3 linked regions of the Mus musculus genome follow. The protein of the gene in region 3 purifies or fractionates together with the protein of the main gene of each other region. This does not show direct contact. Links are inferred from orthologs where the notes say so. Each region holds a gene or a part of one and is shown on either strand. Other genes may lie near its edges. The genes, in order: Tns2, Tns3 and Csk.

Region 1 (6,254 bases), on a different chromosome or scaffold from region 3:
CGCCGCCGCCGCCTCCGCGTATCGCGGCGCGGCTAGGCGGGATGGGCTGGTCCGGGGGCGCCCCCTGCTGCTGCCCCAGTTCGCCGCGCCCCCGGCCCTCTGGGCGCCCCCCACAGGTGAGTGGCTGCGCCACGCTGGACGGGAGCGCGGGCGAGCGTCGGCCCTCTGCGTCACAGCGCGCGGTCCGAGCCAGGGACGGGCACCAGGGGGCGCGGAGCCACTGGGGGTCCGGGAGCATTGGGCGCGGCCCGTGCCCTCCCCTCCGGGTCTCGGTGAGCTAGGGGACAGTTGAAGATACTAGAGGTGACCAGGGGGCGGGGCGCGGCTGTGGACCTAGCTCAGGCCGCCACGCCTTCCTGCGTCCCACTGTGCACTACTGTTGGCTCAGGCCACTCTCTGCGTACCTCTCTAGCTCGAGCCACAAGCGCACTTTGAACACAAGATGCCCGCGGCAGCTGGCATCAATGTTGCGGCCCTGGCCTGGCAGAGTGCATGCAAACTTTTTCCTCTCTGTTTTCTCTATCTGAGACACTGAGGCAGAATGCAGACACAGATGAAGCTGATTTCTCCTTTTAACCCTTTTCTACTTCTGCCCTACCTAGATACCCCCTAGGTCCCTCTAGACACACCCTTGAATCCTACCTCCCTTCCCCTCCCTCCTTTACTGGGCCTCACTCCTCTGTGGCCCGGCTCCGGGCCTCTCATCCAACCACAGCTATTTCCAGGAAGGAGGGGTGTGTGGGTGGGTGGAGGGGTTTCTCCAAACAAACCCAAGGCTTCAGAGTGAGAGGGGGCCCGGCTGGGGAGAATCAAAAGAGCTCTGGAATATTCCAGGCAGGAGGTGGGAGGTGAGGATCTGGTAATGCTGCCATTCCTCAGGCACTGTTTGCCCTCAGCTACTTTCAGAAATACTCCACACTCCCTGCGGTGGGGACGCGCAGAGCCAACTAGACACTTAACTTTCTAGATCTAGGTGGGCAGTGTAAGTTCAGTGAGGGCAGAGGCTGTTTGGGAACCTGTTCCAGAGGAAAAGACTTTCAGTCCCACCAGAGGTTGCAGATGTAGGCCCATGTACCATAGGAGCAGAGGGGAAAAAAAATTGATCAGGGGAGGCGCTGCAGTGATCCATCTTCCCCAGCAGGGCTGGGTGCGGAATCAGGACAGCCCCGGTTGCCCACCTGGCCATCGGCCTGGAATGTCCTGGGACACAGCCAGAACTCAGGTGGGGATTGCAGAGCCAGGGGCCCTCTCCAGTTACAGCACGGTGCCCCACCCCTTGCCACTCACAGGGCCTTCTAGCCAGGGTACACTGGCAACGATGGGCTTCCTAGAGAACAGGCATGCAGCGGGAAGAGGCCTCAGACTCTTCAGTCTGACAGGTCTTCTGAAGGATCCCTGGGGAGGACTAGAGCAGCCCTTCATCTGTCAGATGGGCGTGAGGCAGAAAGAGGAGAGTCCTGTGGGACCCTGCAAGAGGTGCCAGAACTGGAGGAGTTGCACTGGGACATTCAGTAAATACCATGCAAATGAGGGTGACACGGTGTACATTCTTTCAAATGACAGCTAGCTACAGCATTCCAAAGGCTGCTGTCTAGAGCTTGGGCTGGGAACCCCCAGGCTGTTGACCCTTGTTGTAGGAAGGTTGTTCCATCCTTTCCAAGGGCCCCATACACCTCCTTCCCTTGACTCCTGGGACAGGAAGTTGGCCCTATTCCCAGGAGGGAAGCAGGAGGCCCTAGAGAGGGTGGAGTATGTGTTGGGAGGGGGCCTCCTGTCCAGTCCTCGGGTCCAGTGACAGCCACAGAGGAAGGAGAGACAGGCCAGAAGAGCCATGAAGGTAGCGCTCAGATTCTGGTGGGCGGGTGGGGTCCCCAGTAGAACCTCAGGTGCAGGATCTGGGAGCTAAGCCAGGAACTGTGGGTTGTATCTGGAGAGGAGCAGCTGGGGTGTTCAGGAGGAACCTCCAGTGCTTTGGGTTACAGCAAGATGGACCATTCCTGTAAGCCCTTAGCCCTTCCCGCTGGAACTTGGCGTTGAGGAGGGTACTATAAGATCCTTCTCCCGTCTGACAGGGAAGTTAGCCCTCATCCCTAACTTTCTTTCACCCTGAGGATGTGGAGTGCTGGGCTGTCAGGGGTACTGGTTCCCAGCAACACTCCCTTCCCACAGGAAATCCCAAGGGAGCATGAGGGTTCAGGCTAGAGACTGGCCGGGGACACAGTGTTCTCCACTGGCCCTTGAGCCCTGCCCTGAGACCTGAATTCCCACCCTGTGCCACTGGCTGATTCCAGGGCTGGATCTCAGGACTGCAGACCCCCTGCACACAGTGGCCCACTGGGTGGGAGGCAGCTCCAGAGATGGGGAGAGCCAGAGATCTTAGGCTGACACTCCCAGCAGGGTAGATCCTGGGAATCTGATCTCCTGGCCTCCCCCACATCCTCCCCCACCCCACTTCCTGGAGCAGCGACCTGCCCCCTTCCCGCCTGCACTTCCCTCCACTTCCAGGGCCAGGCTTCTCCACACACCAGCCAGACAGCCTCCCCTCCACCCAAGGGAAGCGGCTGCCTCGGCAGGCTGCTTCCAGGAAGCCCCAGGCCAGGCCCCAGCATTGTTCAGGCCCTGCAGCCAAGAGTCCAGCCAGCCAGACACCATGAAGTCCAGCGGCCCTGTGGAAAGGTTGCTCAGAGCCCTGGGGAGGAGGGACAGCAGCCGGGCCACCAGCAGGGTAGGAGTGCCCACCAGCTGGGCAAAGGTGGGGCAGGGTGGAGGTGCGGACAAGGCGGGAGGGCCAGGATTCAGGCCAGACCAGACCCTCTTCCTAGTTTCAGCCTCTTCTCCTGGCTGGCTCAGCATCCCCCTCCTCTTTCTTTCGCCTGACCCCCTGAGGTGGCTAGGGTAGGGTAGCAGTGTGATTCTAGCATCTGTTTTGACTTCTCTGTGTATTTCCTGGCTTGAGCCTGGATAGGCCCCGAGGGTTCAGCTAAGAGCTCAAGCCCTGACCTCCGGGGGAAGCTTGAGGGAAAAGGTATGGGAAGAAGGCAATGAGGGAAGGGAGGGTGCCTTCTACTGACGTCATCTGCACACGACGTCATCATCCACAAGTGCGTCCAAGTGTCCTGGTGGGTCTCGCCCCCAGTCGTTAAGGGACCAACGCTGCTCCCATGTTATTCTCCTCTTCACACTACGGTGGGCAGATCCAGGGAGAGGAGGGGACAGCGGGAGCTTGAACACACAGCGGTGAAGAATGTGCAGTGGAGTGGTGGGAGGAGTGAGGGAGATTGTCCACAGACTCTAGATAGGAGGGATGAACTGGGGTGGGAGGGGTCAGAACTGCAGTGAAAACTTGCAGTGAGTAGGGACTAAGGGGGACCTGGACAACTGGTGGCAGCCCAGCCAGCCACTGACCTCACTACCTCTGGGTGGGGAGGGGGCATCCGGAGAACCTGGCCACCCCTGTCATAACATGCAGAGGCAGCGAGGCAGCTGCCTGTGTGTCCCCACTGCTATTCCTCCTTCCGAGCGAACGTCTTAGACAATTGCTGCCTGCCGCCTCAGTGCACAGAGAGTAAACATGTTGTTCTGACCGTGGGGGAGGGGGTCATATTAGCTGCCTGGAGCTTGGGGACACTGAGAGCCAGGGGCTCAGAACTGGCTGCAGTCAGTCTGGGTATTATGTGATAGTGCTTGTGTGTCCTGGCCGTCAGCTCACAGTATACAAGCCTCTTGTGGGGAGGGCAAGATGGGAGGAGAGTCAGACCCCCCACTCTGCCAAGATTCAGAAAGCCCTCACATTGGAAGTGGGGGTGTGTGTGACAAGGACATCACATAGCTCCGCCACGTGAGAAGTCCTGAGTGAACCCTTAGGGAGGAGTTGACCCAGCCAAGGTGACGCAAGGGGTCACATTCCAAGCCCTGTAGAGGACAGGCCTCATGACTACCCTGAAACAGCTGTGGCCAAGTGTGCCTTAGAGTTCACAGACTTTTGGCTGGAAGAGAGGGAAGCAGCATCGCTCTAAGGAAAGGTCCCTGCCCAGCCTTGGAGATGAGCCCACTAGGAACACATACCCCTATTTGTCTGTCATCCCACCCGCAGCCGAGGAAAGCAGAACCACACAGCTTCCGGGAGAAGGTTTTCCGGAAGAAAACTCCAGTGTGTGCAGTGTGTAAGGTGACCATCGATGGGACCGGTGTCTCCTGCCGAGGTGAGGTGGTGCTCTTGGTGCCTGAGCCCTCCAGGCAGCACTTCTGTGTGGCTCAGGCTCTAGAGACAGGCAAATTCAGAAACAAATGCCCTCACTCTTCTTGACACCCACCTTGCCACAGCCCAGGAGATTTGTGACTCTACCACCTTCCCATCCTTACCTGTGACTAGGGTCTTCCCTTCCTCTTGCTCCTCCTCCTCTTCTTCTTCCTCCTCCTCTTTTTCTTCTTCCTCCTCTTCTTTTTCCTCCTTTTTCCTTTTCCTCCTCCTTTTCCTCTTCTTCCTCTTCCTCTTCCTTCTCTTTTTCCTCTTCTTCCTCCTCTTTTTCCTCTTCTTCCTCCTCCTCTTTTTCCTCTTCTGCCTCCTCCTCTTTTTCCTCTTCCTCCCCTTTCTCTTCCTCCTCATCTTCCTGTTCCTCTTCTTCTTCCTCATCCTTTTCTTCTTCCTCCTCTTCTTCCTCCTACTGTTCTTCCTCCTCTTCCTCTTTCCCCTCCTCACCTCTATTCATCCTAGACCCCAACCCCCGGCCCTCTTCCCTTACTCCAGAGCAGAACCTGTTGATAACCAGCTCTGTTCTTCAACTCCTAGTAACCTAGTGTACCAGGGTCCCAGAGCTGGCTTCTAAGGCCTGTGGGGCTGGAGCACAGTTATTTTGACTATTCCCGTAAGCCTCTGCTAACCTCTACCCTTTCTCTCTCTAGTCTGCAAGGTGGCCACACACAGAAAATGTGAAGCAAAGGTGAGTATGTGGTTCTATCTAATGGGGAGATGGTGTCTTTCCCTGTCCAGACAGGCATCTTCAGCCTCACTGGCATGGGCCACCATGTCACCCTGTCCCCTGTCACTCACTCCTGGACACCCCTTCCTGGGTGGCAGGGGTGTTGTGTTGGGCTCTTTAAGAAACACCCTACTCCACCCCTGGAGGGTTGGCCCAGGAGGGTGGACAGTGAGACAGCGTTTGTCTTGGTGCTGTGCCCAGGCTGCAGCTGGCGAGAGGATGAGGGGGGGTGGCTGCGGGGGGAGGAAGGGCGGGGTGGATAGAGAGGGAGCAAGATTTCAGAGACCAGGCACCCTGATGGGAGGTGCCTTCCCTCTGAGGAAAGGGTCCTCAGGATGCCTGCGTTGGTCTCATCCTGGGTAGTGAAAGCTGAGCCTGTTCAGGTATAATACCCTGTAGCTGGTACCCGCTGTCCACTGAGAACCTAAGGTAGCCCTGCATCTCTGAGGAACGTTCCTGGTGCTCCATCAGTGCAGGGGGTAGTCCCAGGGCCTCAAGCTAGCTTGGGGGAGCTCTGTGCCCATGGGTGGGGTCTCAACGGTGAAAGAGGCTAGTGTCCACCCCTGGCCATTGCCTGGCTGGCTGGCTCTATATATAACTCCTGTCCTGCCGCTGGATGAATGGGGGTCTGTGTGGGCAGGGGGCTGAGAGCCAAGAGCAACAAGCAGGGGGCCCAAGGGGTGGGAGACCGAGAGGCAGAAGCAAGGCTCCCTTAAATAGAGGAACCTCAGCTAGAGGTTGTTCATCAGGTGACAGCCCCTGCACCTTCCTACTGAGGCCTGGCACCCCATTTCACCAGCACAGCCTTTAACTCCCACCTCTTTCCAGGTGACTTCATCCTGTCAGGCCTTGCCCCCTGCGGAGCTGGTGAGTGTGTTCTAGGATGGGGCAGGGAAGGCAAGGAACCTGACTAGTATCCCCGGGGTCTGGTGGTCTCAGAGTGGGTCTCCAGGAGGTTATGTAGAAATGAGTGCTGTGGTTATTGGTCAGTTGTCCTCAACAGATGGCTGTCGGAGCCCTTTCTGGTTACTGTCTTCTAGAGCTTGTTGGGGGCTAGAGTCCTGTCCCTAGGGAATGAACACTGACATGCGCTCCCACCCCGCCCCACCAGGTCCAGACTGGTCCTTGCCCCTGCCCTAACCACTCCCATTTCCTCCCCCACATCCTCCCTCTAGCGGAGAAGCACAGCCCCGGTCCGGCGCATAGAACACCTGGTAAGGGATGCTAGGAGCCTGAGCGGGGAGGGGCGTGTGGGTAGCTCTTGGAGTAGGGACC
Region 2 (5,809 bases), on a different chromosome or scaffold from region 3:
GTGTCAATTTAAATACATATATGTTGTAAGAACTGTATTTTTAATGGGTTTTCTAGGTTCCTGAATGTGGTAATTCCCAGTCAAGTTGTCCCCCGGTCTGTAGGAGATAGGGTCATTAGTTGATGCCTACGATCCTAGACAGGAACAAACCCTATATATAATGTTTTCCCCTATGATAACTCTGACCATTTATTATTCAAAGGAAATAAATACATTACAGATTCCATAGCCAGTCAGCCAGTGTCCCTGTCCCCATACTTGCTCTTTGGGGAACTTGTTGTTAGATTTATATCTTTATTTGTTTTTATTGTATGAATGTTTTGCCTGTCTGTAGTCTGTTTGCCACATGTAAGCCTGGTCCTTGTGGAGGCCAGGAGAGGGCAGCAGTTCTTCTAGAAGGTGGTTGTAAGTCACTGGGTGGATACTGGGAGTCAAACCCCGCTGCTCTGCAGAGTGTTCAGTGCTTAACCACTAAGCCATCTCACCAGCCCCTTTGGGACCGTTTCTAAGTAACCGGAGAGTTACATACCATGTCGGCCAGTCATCTAGAGGCAGACAGCATATACCACATGGATACGCTGAATAAGGAGTGATGCATATCCTGGCCATGAGTAGGACAGCACACTGCTCATCATCCCACTCACAGTAACATTTAAGACTTAGCAGTTGTTTATTTCTACAGTGTTCTACTGAATAGTTTTAGACTGAGGTCAACCTGGGTCACTGAAACACATGCAAGGGATGGGGGGATACTGCGCTTCTATGCTGTCCTGCAGCAAGCCCCAGTACCTACTTCCCCAATCCTGTCTCATCTGTATCTTGTAACAGTTGCTGGGTTTGAGGCATCTGTATGTCCCTTACATTTCCCTATGGCTATTTTTGCCTTTCGAACAGCCCGCCTTCTGCAGAACGCCAGTGGGTAGAGAGCAGCCCGAAGTCCACCCTCACCCTACTGGGGAACAGCCACCCTTCTGAAAGTCCCCTCGGCACTCATGAGTTCTGTAGCTCTGGTAAGGACTCACCAGGGCTGCCCTGCTTCCAGTCCTCAGAGCTCCAGGCCTCTTTCCACAGCCATGAGCTGTCCATGTCAGAGCCTCAGGGTGCTTTGCCTCCTGCGGGCAGCCAAACCTTCTTAGGTTTCAACACAGTAACCACAGCAACAAGTGTTCTTCCACCTGGTGAGGACGCTGGCACCTTGCTGGTCAATTCCCATGGAACATCACCAGCTCCTGGAACCCCTCTGCTGACGACAGGGGCTGCTGACAACGGCTTTCTGCCCCACAACTTTCTCACGGTGTCACCCGGAGCCAGCAGCCACCACAGTCCAGGCCTGCAGAACCAGAACGTGAGCCTGCCTGGGCAGCCACCCCTCCCGGAGAAGAAGAGAGCGTCGGAGGGTGATCGTTCTTTGGGCTCAGTCTCCCCATCATCCAGTGGCTTCTCCAGCCCCCACAGTGGCAGCACCATGAGCATCCCCTTCCCGAATGTCCTTCCAGACTTCTGCAAGCCTTCAGAAGTGGCCTCACCTTTGCCAGGTATGTCTGCATCTGCCACTCCCTCAGGAGAGGAGGGCTCTGGGGCTTCCCGTGTGAGCCAGTCTTCAGTGCTAAGTCAGATGTCCTGCAGGAAATGGTCAGATCCTCTCTTGGCTCTCTCCCACCCAGTTTGCCTAAAGCCAGATAGACCCAGTTTTTCCGGTCAGCTTCCTCCTTAATCTCCTGCAGACTCAGACCAGCGTTAGACAGTGCAGATGCTGCAGTAGTTCTGTATTCACTTTGACTAAAAGGATAGAGATGCTTTAAAGTTTCTTTCTCTCTTCCCAATTACATAATTCATCCAGAATTGAGTTATAAGCTGTTTCAAGTGTTTGACACAGCCTCGCTGCCCTGTCCTCCTGTCCCGTATTGGAAGCACGTTTGTCTTGTACTGTACTCCGCGGTACTGGCTCTTCCTTCCAGTTGGTCCTTTGAACCACGTCTCCTCCCCACTTAGGACCTTTCTGTGCATCCCTCAAACCCAGGCATGGATTTGGACTCGCATCACCATTGTAAAAGAGGCAGCAATATAGATATTCTGTATTACTCTCAATGCTGAATAGAGAAATGTCCCATTTCCTACTCCTGTGAATGCTGCTATCAGTTCCCTATTGTAATTAAACCCAATTGAGATGTATTAATTTGTAAAAAACTAAACAAAAAACCCAAATATTCTGTATTAAAATTCTGCTTCACAGATAGCCCAAATGATAAACTCGTGATTGTGAAATTTGTTCAAGACACTTCGAAGTTCTGGTACAAGGCAGACATCTCAAGAGAACAAGGTAGGCGGGGTTAAGGGACCTCTTACAATGTTGGTCGTATTTGGTCTCTGGGTCCTTCTGTCAGGGATCTCCTTGTATTAGCTGTGGCGCAGATAAATACACCTTTTTCATAGGACTCTGGAGAACATTCTACAACCTTCACAGTCTTACAGGGAAAACTCAGTCCCCCTGAGGGTTTGGGCCAGAAGTGGTTTCAAGCCACAAGCATCCATCCCAGCGTGTGGCCTGTGAACACTGGCAGTTTCACTAGCCTGGCAGCCCACCACTGCTTTGAGGATGAGACACTGCTCAGGTCTCTACTAAGGACTCCTTGAGGTCCTAGGTTCCAGAGTACTGCAGAAAGAGGCCATGGAGAGCTAATGCTCTAGGAGAATCTCAGGCTTGGTGGCTGCAGACATGAAAGGGCATGGAGTGTTTGGAGCTCTCCCCATTAGGAGCTTCCTGTAGCCTGCATGAATCTACCCCACATTGGCCACCTGGTTGAAGTCCCTAAGGAGCTCATGGGGCCGTTCATTCATAGCATCATCTCTCAGAAAGGCTAGTTTTCTCCCTGAGGTTCTGCCATTAGATTTTAAAGCTAACAGGAACTGTGAGACTCTAGTTCTTCCCAGGAGCTCAAGGAAGCTGTTGTCATTTTAAATGGAAGAGAAGCATGGGTGGGGTGAGGTGGGGGATGAACACAACCACGGCCTGAAAAGCCTTTCATTTCCCTCAGGCACCTTTGTGAAAGCTGCTTAGTGAGTCCAAGCCTCCCCCAAAACACACAGAGCAACCTTATGTGGCCAGTGTCCCGAATTCTTCTGTCTCTGGTCTCCCTGCTTAGCTGCACAGGTGAAAAGATGGCATTTTCCTTACTCCACGTTCATCTGCCAAGCAGGGTCCCAACTGGCCCAGGCTGTAGGAGCAGCTGGGAGAAGGGGCTGCTCTGGATGTATAGAGAAAAGGAGTCCTGGGCGTGGGACGCTCCCCACGCATATCAGCACCAGTTTCTTACTGCTGAAAAGAGATGGGGAAGTGCCCATGTGCAGAAGAGAGAGGATGTCGGTGCTTTGTAACAGTCTGCTTTCAGGCAGCCGAGCCATCCCTGGAACCATTGCCAATCAAGAGAACGTTACTCTTCAATTGTCATTGATGCATTGAGCGTCAGCTCAGCCTTGAGTGTGATTTTTCAGAGGTGGAGCCATCCCAGGCTCTGGGTGGGCAGTGACCTTTGTCCCCTGCAGTCATCCATGCCTTTCCTTCCCCTAGCCATTGCCATGCTGAAGGACAAAGCCCCCGGGTCATTCATCGTGAGGGACAGTCACTCCTTCCGAGGGGCCTACGGCCTGGCCATGAAGGTGGCCACACCTCCTCCGTCTGTCCTGCACCTCAACAAGAAAGGTAAGCGTCCATAGACGGGGGTTGTCTGTTGTTTACAGTGGCTGATATCGGCAACTGTTCCCACTGCTTCTCTTTATTTAGTGTTTGCTTTCTAAGGTTACTTCCTTAAGTAGCTGTCCATCCATGTATACCTTTTATCTTCATTTTTTTTAACCCGTCTTTTCCATACTTTTAAACTTGCAATGTGAACACTAATATAGTACATAGAATATGTACTATCTTATGAATCAAAAATTTTAAGACTCACTGAACACCTCAGGTCACGAGGAGTGTGCAGTAGTCGCCCTGTGCAGGATGCCCTTCGTATTTATCTTATCAGGAGATAATGTTCACTGTGGGTCATGGTTTTAAGAGGTTCAGCTCATTTGGTTGGCTCTGGTACCAGGCCTGTGATAGAGAAATCATCATAGGCTGCTTGTGCATGAGGGAGTATGTGTTCTCCCTCTGCCTGCAACGTGAAGGGGAGAGGCTGGGGAGAGAGCGAGGTTTCGTCACCCTCCTAAGGGCATGCACTAAGTGACCCTACTCCAGCCCTCCTTACATCCTCACTGATCACCAGAGCATCTCTCTGGGAGCTGAGCCTCTGCCGCATGGATCAGTGAGAGACGTTGCCTTAGCTAGAGAGAGGAATCCGAATCAGCATGGCTGTGGTACCTGTCTGTCCCATCCCATGCCTGGGTCTGAGATGAGCCATCCTAACTCTTGTGTGAAATCTGTCTGAAAGCTTCCTGGAGCAAACATGGTACACGGTGTACTGAGGTTGTAAGATGTGGTTGCAAGTGGGCCAGCCTCAGGCACAGGTGGCTGACCTGCTTCAGGAATGTGCTTGCCTTGCAAGGCTAGGAAGTGTGGTTGGGAGGCACCTGGGACTCAGGCAGAGCACAGCTCCCAAACCTGGGGGTGCTGACAGGGCTTCTGTGAGGGAGTGGGAGAGTAAGTGACATCACATAGAACGTCTAGGATTCCCGCCTAAGAAGCTCAACAGAACCTTACTGCGGGGACGTATGGCCTTTATCATGAAGCACTCACTCAGACCTGGCTGCTGAGGACTACCAGGTCTGACTTAGGAACATCAGTTAGTGACATATCAGGAAAAGACTTCTAATGTCTGGGAATGTATCCTTCCTTGGGCAGCCTTCAGACTAAGTCTGAGAATAAACGAACAAAATAGAGGCTATGTGAATAGCAGATGTCAGAAAACCCAGCATGGTGGTCTCCACTGGCTGAAATACAGTCTCGACTCTGTGTGTATACCTAGGCCTGGGTTTGACATTTGTATTTCCCAGTCCAACGATAGATTTGAGCGAAGAGTTTACCAAATGAGTGAAGAGCCAGTTAGTCACTGAGCCACCTCCAGTCAATTTGAGATGAGACAGCTGTGGTCATTCTAGACTCTGTGTTCCAAAACACCCTTGGCAGCAGGATCTTCACGGGGCCATTTTCCACAAGTAGAATCCAGACCTTCAGTGGGTTTTCTCATTAGGCTGGAAGCCCCACACCTTCTCTTCCCACAGAGGAAGTGTCATATTTTGTTCCCTCTGTTTTATGTGTCAGACTTTCATGGAATCCCTGCAGGTTTGACTGCCCCTAGGAAATGCTAACATGTACTGCCGCTAATGTGTGGTGTTGATCAGCATCATTGGAGCCTAATGCAGCTCAGGATCTCTCATCATAAATGGCCCCAAACAGATATGGCGACGGTTTCTGATTATTTTCAGATTTCAAAATATTTGTACACTAATAATGAGGTATCTTGGGAATGAGGCTTAAGTCTTTTTTAAAAATTATTTCTTTATTATTTTATTTGTGTGATATTTTTCCTTGTATATCTGACTGCATAAATTTGTACATGTCTAGTATGCATGGAGGCCTGAAGAGGGTGTCAGATACCCTGAAAATGGAGTTACAGACAGTTGTGAGCTGTCATGTGGCTGCTGGGAATACAACCTGGGAGACCCAAGTCCTAAGATTAAATTCATTTACATCTCCTATAGAATTCATATACATTCCATATATTTTGAAAGTAATGTTATGCAATATTTTCCATTATTTCGTTCATGAAACAAAGTTTCGTGGTGTGGAATCTTCCATTTATGGCCTCATACTGGG
Region 3 (6,285 bases):
ACACACACACACACATGCACCATCACTCCAGGCCTGTTATCTTGCTGAATCTGCACCATCTCTCATGAAAGAGGCATGCTCTCAGCCTGATCTCACCAAAGAGGAAACAGCTCAGAGACCTTAGGTAACTAGTTCAAAGCCACACAGCTCTTGAGATTTAACCTTGAGATTCGGTCCCCAAATATCTGTTTCCCCCCCCCCCTCTGTGTCACACCTAACTCTGAGATCTTCTAGGTGCCTCCACCAAAGGTGTCCCTAAAGAACCAGTTCCCTGTAAGCAAACTGGTACTAGGCATGCTGGGTGAGAAGACCAACCTGTCGTCTGGGGTGGGAGTTGAGCATATCCAACTCCTGCTTCTAACATTTTAAGTTATTTGCAATCTGCAACCTTGCTTCTCACAGAGCCCCTTTCTTCCCCTCAGTCAGTACCACTTTACATTGCATTCCAAGTCTTTGCCAGCAGCGTCTCCTCTCCCATCTGAAGATCCCCCTCCCACTCCCTCACCCCCATCCCCTGCTCCTAAACTAGTACCCTCTTTCAGTCCTGGTCCTTAGAAAGTGCTCCTACACCTAGCACCTCCAACGGACTTTCTGGCTTCTCTCTAGCCACTGTGCTTCCATTCTGTGGCCCTCCCATACAGGAGCACTGCTTGCTCCTGTAGCTGAGAGCAAATTGCTCCGGGAGGATCCCGGACTCCTCATTAACAATGGTGCATAATAACAGCCCGTGTTTAATTGAGGACTCACCACGTGCCACTTGCGCACCGAGCACTTCAAACCTATTAACTCATTTCCTCTCCACAAAACCTTACAAAGTTGGTGGTACCGCTCTTGCTCACTTTACCAAACCACAGTGGAAAAGGACAGACAGAGATTAGCTAACTGGTCCGACGTTGTTACACAGCCAGTGACAACTTCCCTATTGCATCTCAGCTGAAAATAAAGCCCGGAAGAGTTCCAAGAAGCTCTGTGGTTCTTTGGCCCTGTAGCTTGCAGGACTGACCGCATCTCTTTCTGCTTTCCCCTACACACGAAGTAAGTCAGGTCTCCCTGCTGTGTTCCCAGATCTAGAAAATCAACCCATGTTCCCTTCTTTCCTGTTTCTTGTGGACCTTGTACCTTTTTTTTTTTTTTCATTGTTTATCAATTTGTTCTTTGTGACAATATTTTTGCAACAACCCCTCATGAGAATTTGGCAGATATAGAGGTTTTAAGAAGTGGACTCCGGCCGGGTAGTGGTGATGCACACTCTTTTTGTTTGTTTGTTTTATGTTTTGTTTTGTTTTTCGAGACAGGGTTTCTCTGTGTAGCCCTGGCTGTCCTGGAACTCACTTTGTAGACCAGGCTGGCCTCAAATTCAGAAATCCACCTGCCTCTGCCTCCTGAGTGCTGGGATTAAAGGCGTGGGCCACCACCGCCCGGAAATGCACTCTTTAATTCTAGCACTTGGGAGGAAGAAGCAGGCAGATCTTTATGAGTTCGAGGCCAGCCTGGTCTACAGAGCAAGTTCCAGAGCTACATAGTGAGACCCTGTCTCAGAAAAACAAAAGATAACAAAAAAACTACAAAGGAGGAGAAGGAAGAAGAGGAAGAGAAGGAAGAAGAGGAGGAGGAGAGAGGAGAAAGGAGGTGGAGGAGAAGGAAGGAGAAGGACGGTGGTAGACTACAGAGCAGGGGCTGTGTAAATGCATGCTTACTGTCCCAGAAGAGTCTAGGCCTAGCCTCCACTATAGAAAGAAAACTTCGCTGGGGGGGGGGGGGGGGGGAAGAGGAGGAGAAGGAGGAGGAGGAAGCAGAGACGGTGGTAGACTACAGAGCAGGGGCCGTGTAAATGCATGCTTACTGTCCCAGAAGAGTCTAGGCCTAACCTCCACTCTAGCAAGGAAGCTTCGCCTAGAGGAAGCTGAGAGGTTGGCTCTAGCATGCTGGTGGCCCTCTGAAAGGACCTTCGGGAGCCTTCGCGAAGGCCAGCAAGTGGGGGCAGGGCGTAGACGCGGACACACCCCCCGCATTTCCTCCAAGGTCCAGCAGAGGGCGCCGACCCACGCCCCGCTGCTCGCCCGGCAGGCCCCCTCGCGCAGGCGCGCCGCAGCGGGCGGAGGATCCGGGCCGCGCTTCCTCTCACCAGGCCTGCGAGCTTCCTCCCATCGGAGCCCGGGCGAGCTGAGGTTGGCCGCCGCCGCTGAGCCTGCTGCCTTCCTTGCGCTTCCGCGCCACCCTGCGCCCTGCCCCGGGGAATCCCACCGGGGTGGGGTCCGAGCAGGGCCAACCCGGGCCGCGCCGCCGTCGGGGCCGTCCCCGGGCCAGCCGTCCCTCCCGCCTGGCCAGCCTCTGGCCGCCCAGCCTCCGGGGTGTGGGGCTTAGGCAAGCCCTGCGAGCGGCGATCGAACGCCCGGGGCGGCCCCCCGGCGGCGGCGCGACGTCCCCAAACCGAACCTCCGTGGCCGCGTTCGGAAGCGGAACTCTGCCGGGGCCGCGCCGGCTACATTGTTTCCTCCCCCCCGGACTCCCTCCCGCCCCCTTCCCCCGCCTTTCTTCCCTCCCCGCCTGGGGCTGCGCGGCAGTCCCCCTGCCTGTCTGGCTCCCCTTCCCTCTCTTTTCGCATCCATACACCTCTTTGTACCGCACCCCCTGGGGACCCCTGTGCCCCTCCCCTCCCCCTTGGCCGCATGGACTGTCCTGCAGGCCACTGATGCCGCCCTCGGTGAGGAGGCCTGGACCGCAGTGCCCCCAGAGAGGTGAGTGCTGGGCAGCCCCAAAGGAGGTGGGTGTCCTAATGCCCCCTAGAAGGGAGGAGGTCGCTCGTCCCGCCTCTGTAGCCACCACCGCCGCGCCCACACCCATCCCCCCAACCCCCCACCTCCCAAACGGGTTCGAATTCTCCCGGGAATCACTGTCAGAACACTACTGGGAATGAGCCACAAGGGAGGTAGTACTACCCAGCACCACGAGAGAATTGGCTTAGGTCTGCAGAGTCCTACCTTCCCACCCCCCAACTCCCGTGAGGAGAGCAGAGTGGGAAGTGGCTGGACCCCGGAGGAAGAGAAGTGGTATGGGCCGGACTCCCGGGCGTTTGCCCTTTCCCGTTCAGGGCTTCCCTGAAGGTATCCTGGCTTGTCTGGTTCTGAACTCTACTTCAGTCGTTGCACAGAGGTTCTATTGGCTCCAAGCAGCCCAGGGCCATGCCACCTCCCTTTGTGCCTGATAGAAGGCCGGGTCCTTGAACTAAGCCTGTCACCCTTGACCTGCCAGAGGATCAGGCTTAAAGCAAGGGACCTCTGACCCTTGGGTGGAGAAACTGGGCAGGGCTTCCAGTCTGCGTAGAGGTGACACTGGGCATTGGTACTGTACCCCGTTCCCCCCACCCCCACCCCCAGCATCCTCATCAGTCTATTTTCCCAGGCTTCTCAGGACCCAGACCAGTTATTTGGAAGGGGTGTGTCCAGTCACTGGATCTTTGGAGCTTAAGTAGGAGTTTTTTTTTTTTTTTTTTGATCATTTTGTATAGCAGGGAACTGAGGCCCAAGGGGCAGGTCATATTCCAGGCTCCTGATGGAGGGAGGCTAGCTGTCTCTCATTCCCACTTCTGCAATGATGGATGGCTGGAGGTGGAGGGGAACCAGACCCACTCTGTAACTACCAGGGACACTGGCAGTCTCCAGCCTGACCCAAGAGGGACCTTGTGGGGTGAGCGAGCACGTGTTCCCTTGCAGAGGGCTAGAGAAGAGGGAAAGGGCTTCCGGCCTCAGTGCTGTCTTCTTACAGGCCGAGATATCGTATGCATTGCTTATAAGACTTCCTCTCAGTGCGTGGGACTGGGTCCTAATCGTGTGGGCCATCTGTGTGGTGTGGTGTGGTTAGGTGTGCAGAAGCCTGGTTCTGGGCAGCTTTGAAACAGCCTGGTAGTTAGTTCTGACCCTGCCTTTCCCACATTTACCAGATGGCTCAGTCAGAACCTGAATGGGGTCAGCGTAGGCAGAGTGGCAGACAACCTTGGACTGAAAGTGTCAGTATGGGGGAATGTTGACACTTGGGGCTTGTTTCTGTCTCCCTGGACCCTAGATGTCGTAGTGTCTCGGTAATGGCCACAGCAGGATCAGGCCAGAGGCACTAAGGTTGGCAGAGCAGCAGGATCTTCTAGACCCCTCAGGATGCTGAGCTCTGCCTAGGCCCCCGTGAGCCACAGGCTGTTTTGTCTTGCTCAGGCCCTTGCCCTTGGTTAAGGTTTTACCCATTGCTCTAAGAAGCACTGGGGTGGGGGTGGGGTATACAGTCACATCGCCTCATGCCGACCCGAACTTCTTCTGTCTAGCCTTAGGGGTTGTGGCTAGGCCTGACATGGCTGGGTGCTTCTTACTAACTTGGCTGCAAGGGTGTGGCCAGAGTCCAGAGATCTTTTAGAAAGCAGCCTCATTTAGGCTAGCACATGTTCGAGGCTCTGAGTTTTGTTTGGTGAACTAATTTTCCCCGATCAGCAAGGGCTGGTCTTTCTGTAAAAGACCAGGAAAGCAGGTGCCTTCCTCACTACAAGGCACTGCTCTTCAGAGGGCAGTCCTCATGGGGAGGCCCACAGCAAGTGTTGATAGAGAGCAGAGTCCAGCTTCCTTCACGCTAGTAGAGGTAGGGATGGAAGCCAGAGGCCCATAGTGTGACTCAACCTCCCCCATAATCCTTCTGGATCCCACTGGAATGGTAGGACCACCCAGGTCCATCTTTTGAAGAATGTCAAAGCCTTGACATGTAGCCCTCAAAGCACAGATGTTGAGTGTGGGAAAGAAGGCAGAGAGATGTCTGAGAGAGTGTCCCAGACGGGCATGGATGCTCTGTAGCAGAAAAGTCCTGAGTAGCTGGGCCAGAGCTGAGGGGCAGGCAGGACCTGGGAAAGTTAGTCTGACTTCACATGAAAACTCTATGCTTGTTGATTTTATTCTTTACAAAGCAGTGAGGGCCGCGTGGGCTGGCATGCACCTGTAATCCCAGCGCTAGGGAGACCGAGGCAGGAGGGATTCCAAGTTCAAGGCTAGCATGGGCTCCAGACTGAGATCCCATCTTTAAAAGAGAAGAAAGGAAGAAAACAAACCCCAGAAATTTTAGAAAATAAAACAAGAGGGCCCAGTAATTGCCAGGCAGGGACTCGGCACACTAGAGCCCTGTTTTCCTGGTTTCCTTCCCTTGCTGTTGTTAGCATGTAAATGTGCAAGCCTCGACTCTTTTCCCACTTACTACTGTGTCTCTGGGTGTTTCTTGAGCTACCTGTCATGGTAACCGCCTCGAAGGAGCTTCAGGGTATTTCCAGGAGCCCTGCTACTGCTTCGTCACCAAACCCTCTCCCGCGTGTGCCGTGCTTCCATCTGTCAGTGGTGGGGGCTGTTACTACACACCCTACAAGCAGCTAGGAGAGAGCAGGCAGTTTAGCAGCTAAGTATGTGGGTCCCAGGCCCAGCCACACCACGGTTCCCTGAGCATAGCTAACAGGAACAGTGAGCTGTATACCTCAGAAGACACTGAACTAACTAACCTACTAAAAGACTGGAGAGAGCATGGGACCGTGGCTGGTGTGGCTGCCTTAGAATTCGAGAAACATCCCTGAGCCTCGGACCCTAGAATGACTGCCCTCTCACCTATCTTTGGTAAGGTGTCCCAAGCACTCTGAAAACCTCTGGCCCTGTATTCTAGGCTGCTGTGTCTGTCTATGCTGTGCCCCACTCCCTTCCCATCACTAAGTGATAGGCTGCCTCAGGGCATGGGACTGGCCTTGAGAAGATAGGATGCTAATTGCTGTCCAAGGCCTAACCCCACCCATTCCCCTTCACAGCCTTGGAGTTGAGAATGGCTACCTACCACTGTTGCTTCCCAAAACACACACACACACACATACACACACCGGTTATCACTACAGGGCCTTGAACCCGAGATCCTCCTGCTTCAGTCTCCAGAGCATTGAGATTACAGGCATGCTTATACCACCGTACCCATCATGAAGAGTACTCCTGCTTCCCGGATCCTGCATGGCTGTCATAGGCTTCACGTTCCAGTGGGAAATAGAGGTTTCCTTAGGCTGAGCCAGAGTTAGTCAGGCCAGCCTCAGCTTTCTCCAGTGACCAGGGAAGGGAAAGATTAGATTTTGGAGCCTTGCACCTGAGAGTTAGAAACTAGGCTTCTGAGTTAGTGTCCTCCTTTGCAGATCTAACCTGGAGGTGTCACTTTGTGACATGGGCAGTAGGAAGAAACCAATCTCTGCTTGGCACACCCTGGGTCCAAAAGACTGTAGCCCTAATTGACTAG

What was found.
Region 1: the proteins of Csk (region 3) and Tns2 purify together in Homo sapiens (affinity purification with mass spectrometry; 6 studies listed by BioGRID and IntAct, with this or other methods). This does not show direct contact. The link is inferred for Mus musculus from reciprocal best matches to the Homo sapiens genes CSK and TNS2.
Region 2: the proteins of Csk (region 3) and Tns3 purify together in Homo sapiens (affinity purification with mass spectrometry; 4 studies listed by BioGRID and IntAct, with this or other methods). This does not show direct contact. The link is inferred for Mus musculus from reciprocal best matches to the Homo sapiens genes CSK and TNS3.

What each region holds. Positions count from the first base shown.
Region 1 is NC_000081.6:102,100,437-102,106,690, forward strand, and holds the start of Tns2 (tensin-2), read left to right. Parts: upstream 1-2,497; 5' UTR 2,498-2,650; coding exon 2,651-2,725; intron 2,726-4,093; coding exon 4,094-4,202; intron 4,203-4,902; coding exon 4,903-4,940; intron 4,941-5,807; coding exon 5,808-5,846; intron 5,847-6,154; coding exon 6,155-6,193; intron 6,194-6,254. UniProt on the Homo sapiens protein: Tyrosine-protein phosphatase which regulates cell motility, proliferation and muscle-response to insulin. Phosphatase activity is mediated by binding to phosphatidylinositol-3,4,5-triphosphate (PtdIns(3,4,5)P3) via the SH2 domain.
Region 2 is NC_000077.6:8,446,581-8,452,389, reverse strand, and holds part of Tns3 (tensin-3), read left to right. Parts: intron 1-894; coding exon 895-1,535; intron 1,536-2,233; coding exon 2,234-2,320; intron 2,321-3,568; coding exon 3,569-3,700; intron 3,701-5,809. UniProt on the Homo sapiens protein: May act as a protein phosphatase and/or a lipid phosphatase. Involved in the dissociation of the integrin-tensin-actin complex. EGF activates TNS4 and down-regulates TNS3 which results in capping the tail of ITGB1.
Region 3 is NC_000075.6:57,641,448-57,647,732, reverse strand, and holds the start of Csk (tyrosine-protein kinase CSK), read left to right. Parts: upstream 1-2,079; 5' UTR 2,080-2,738; intron 2,739-3,663; exon of another isoform or gene 3,664-3,687; intron 3,688-6,285. UniProt on the Homo sapiens protein: Non-receptor tyrosine-protein kinase that plays an important role in the regulation of cell growth, differentiation, migration and immune response.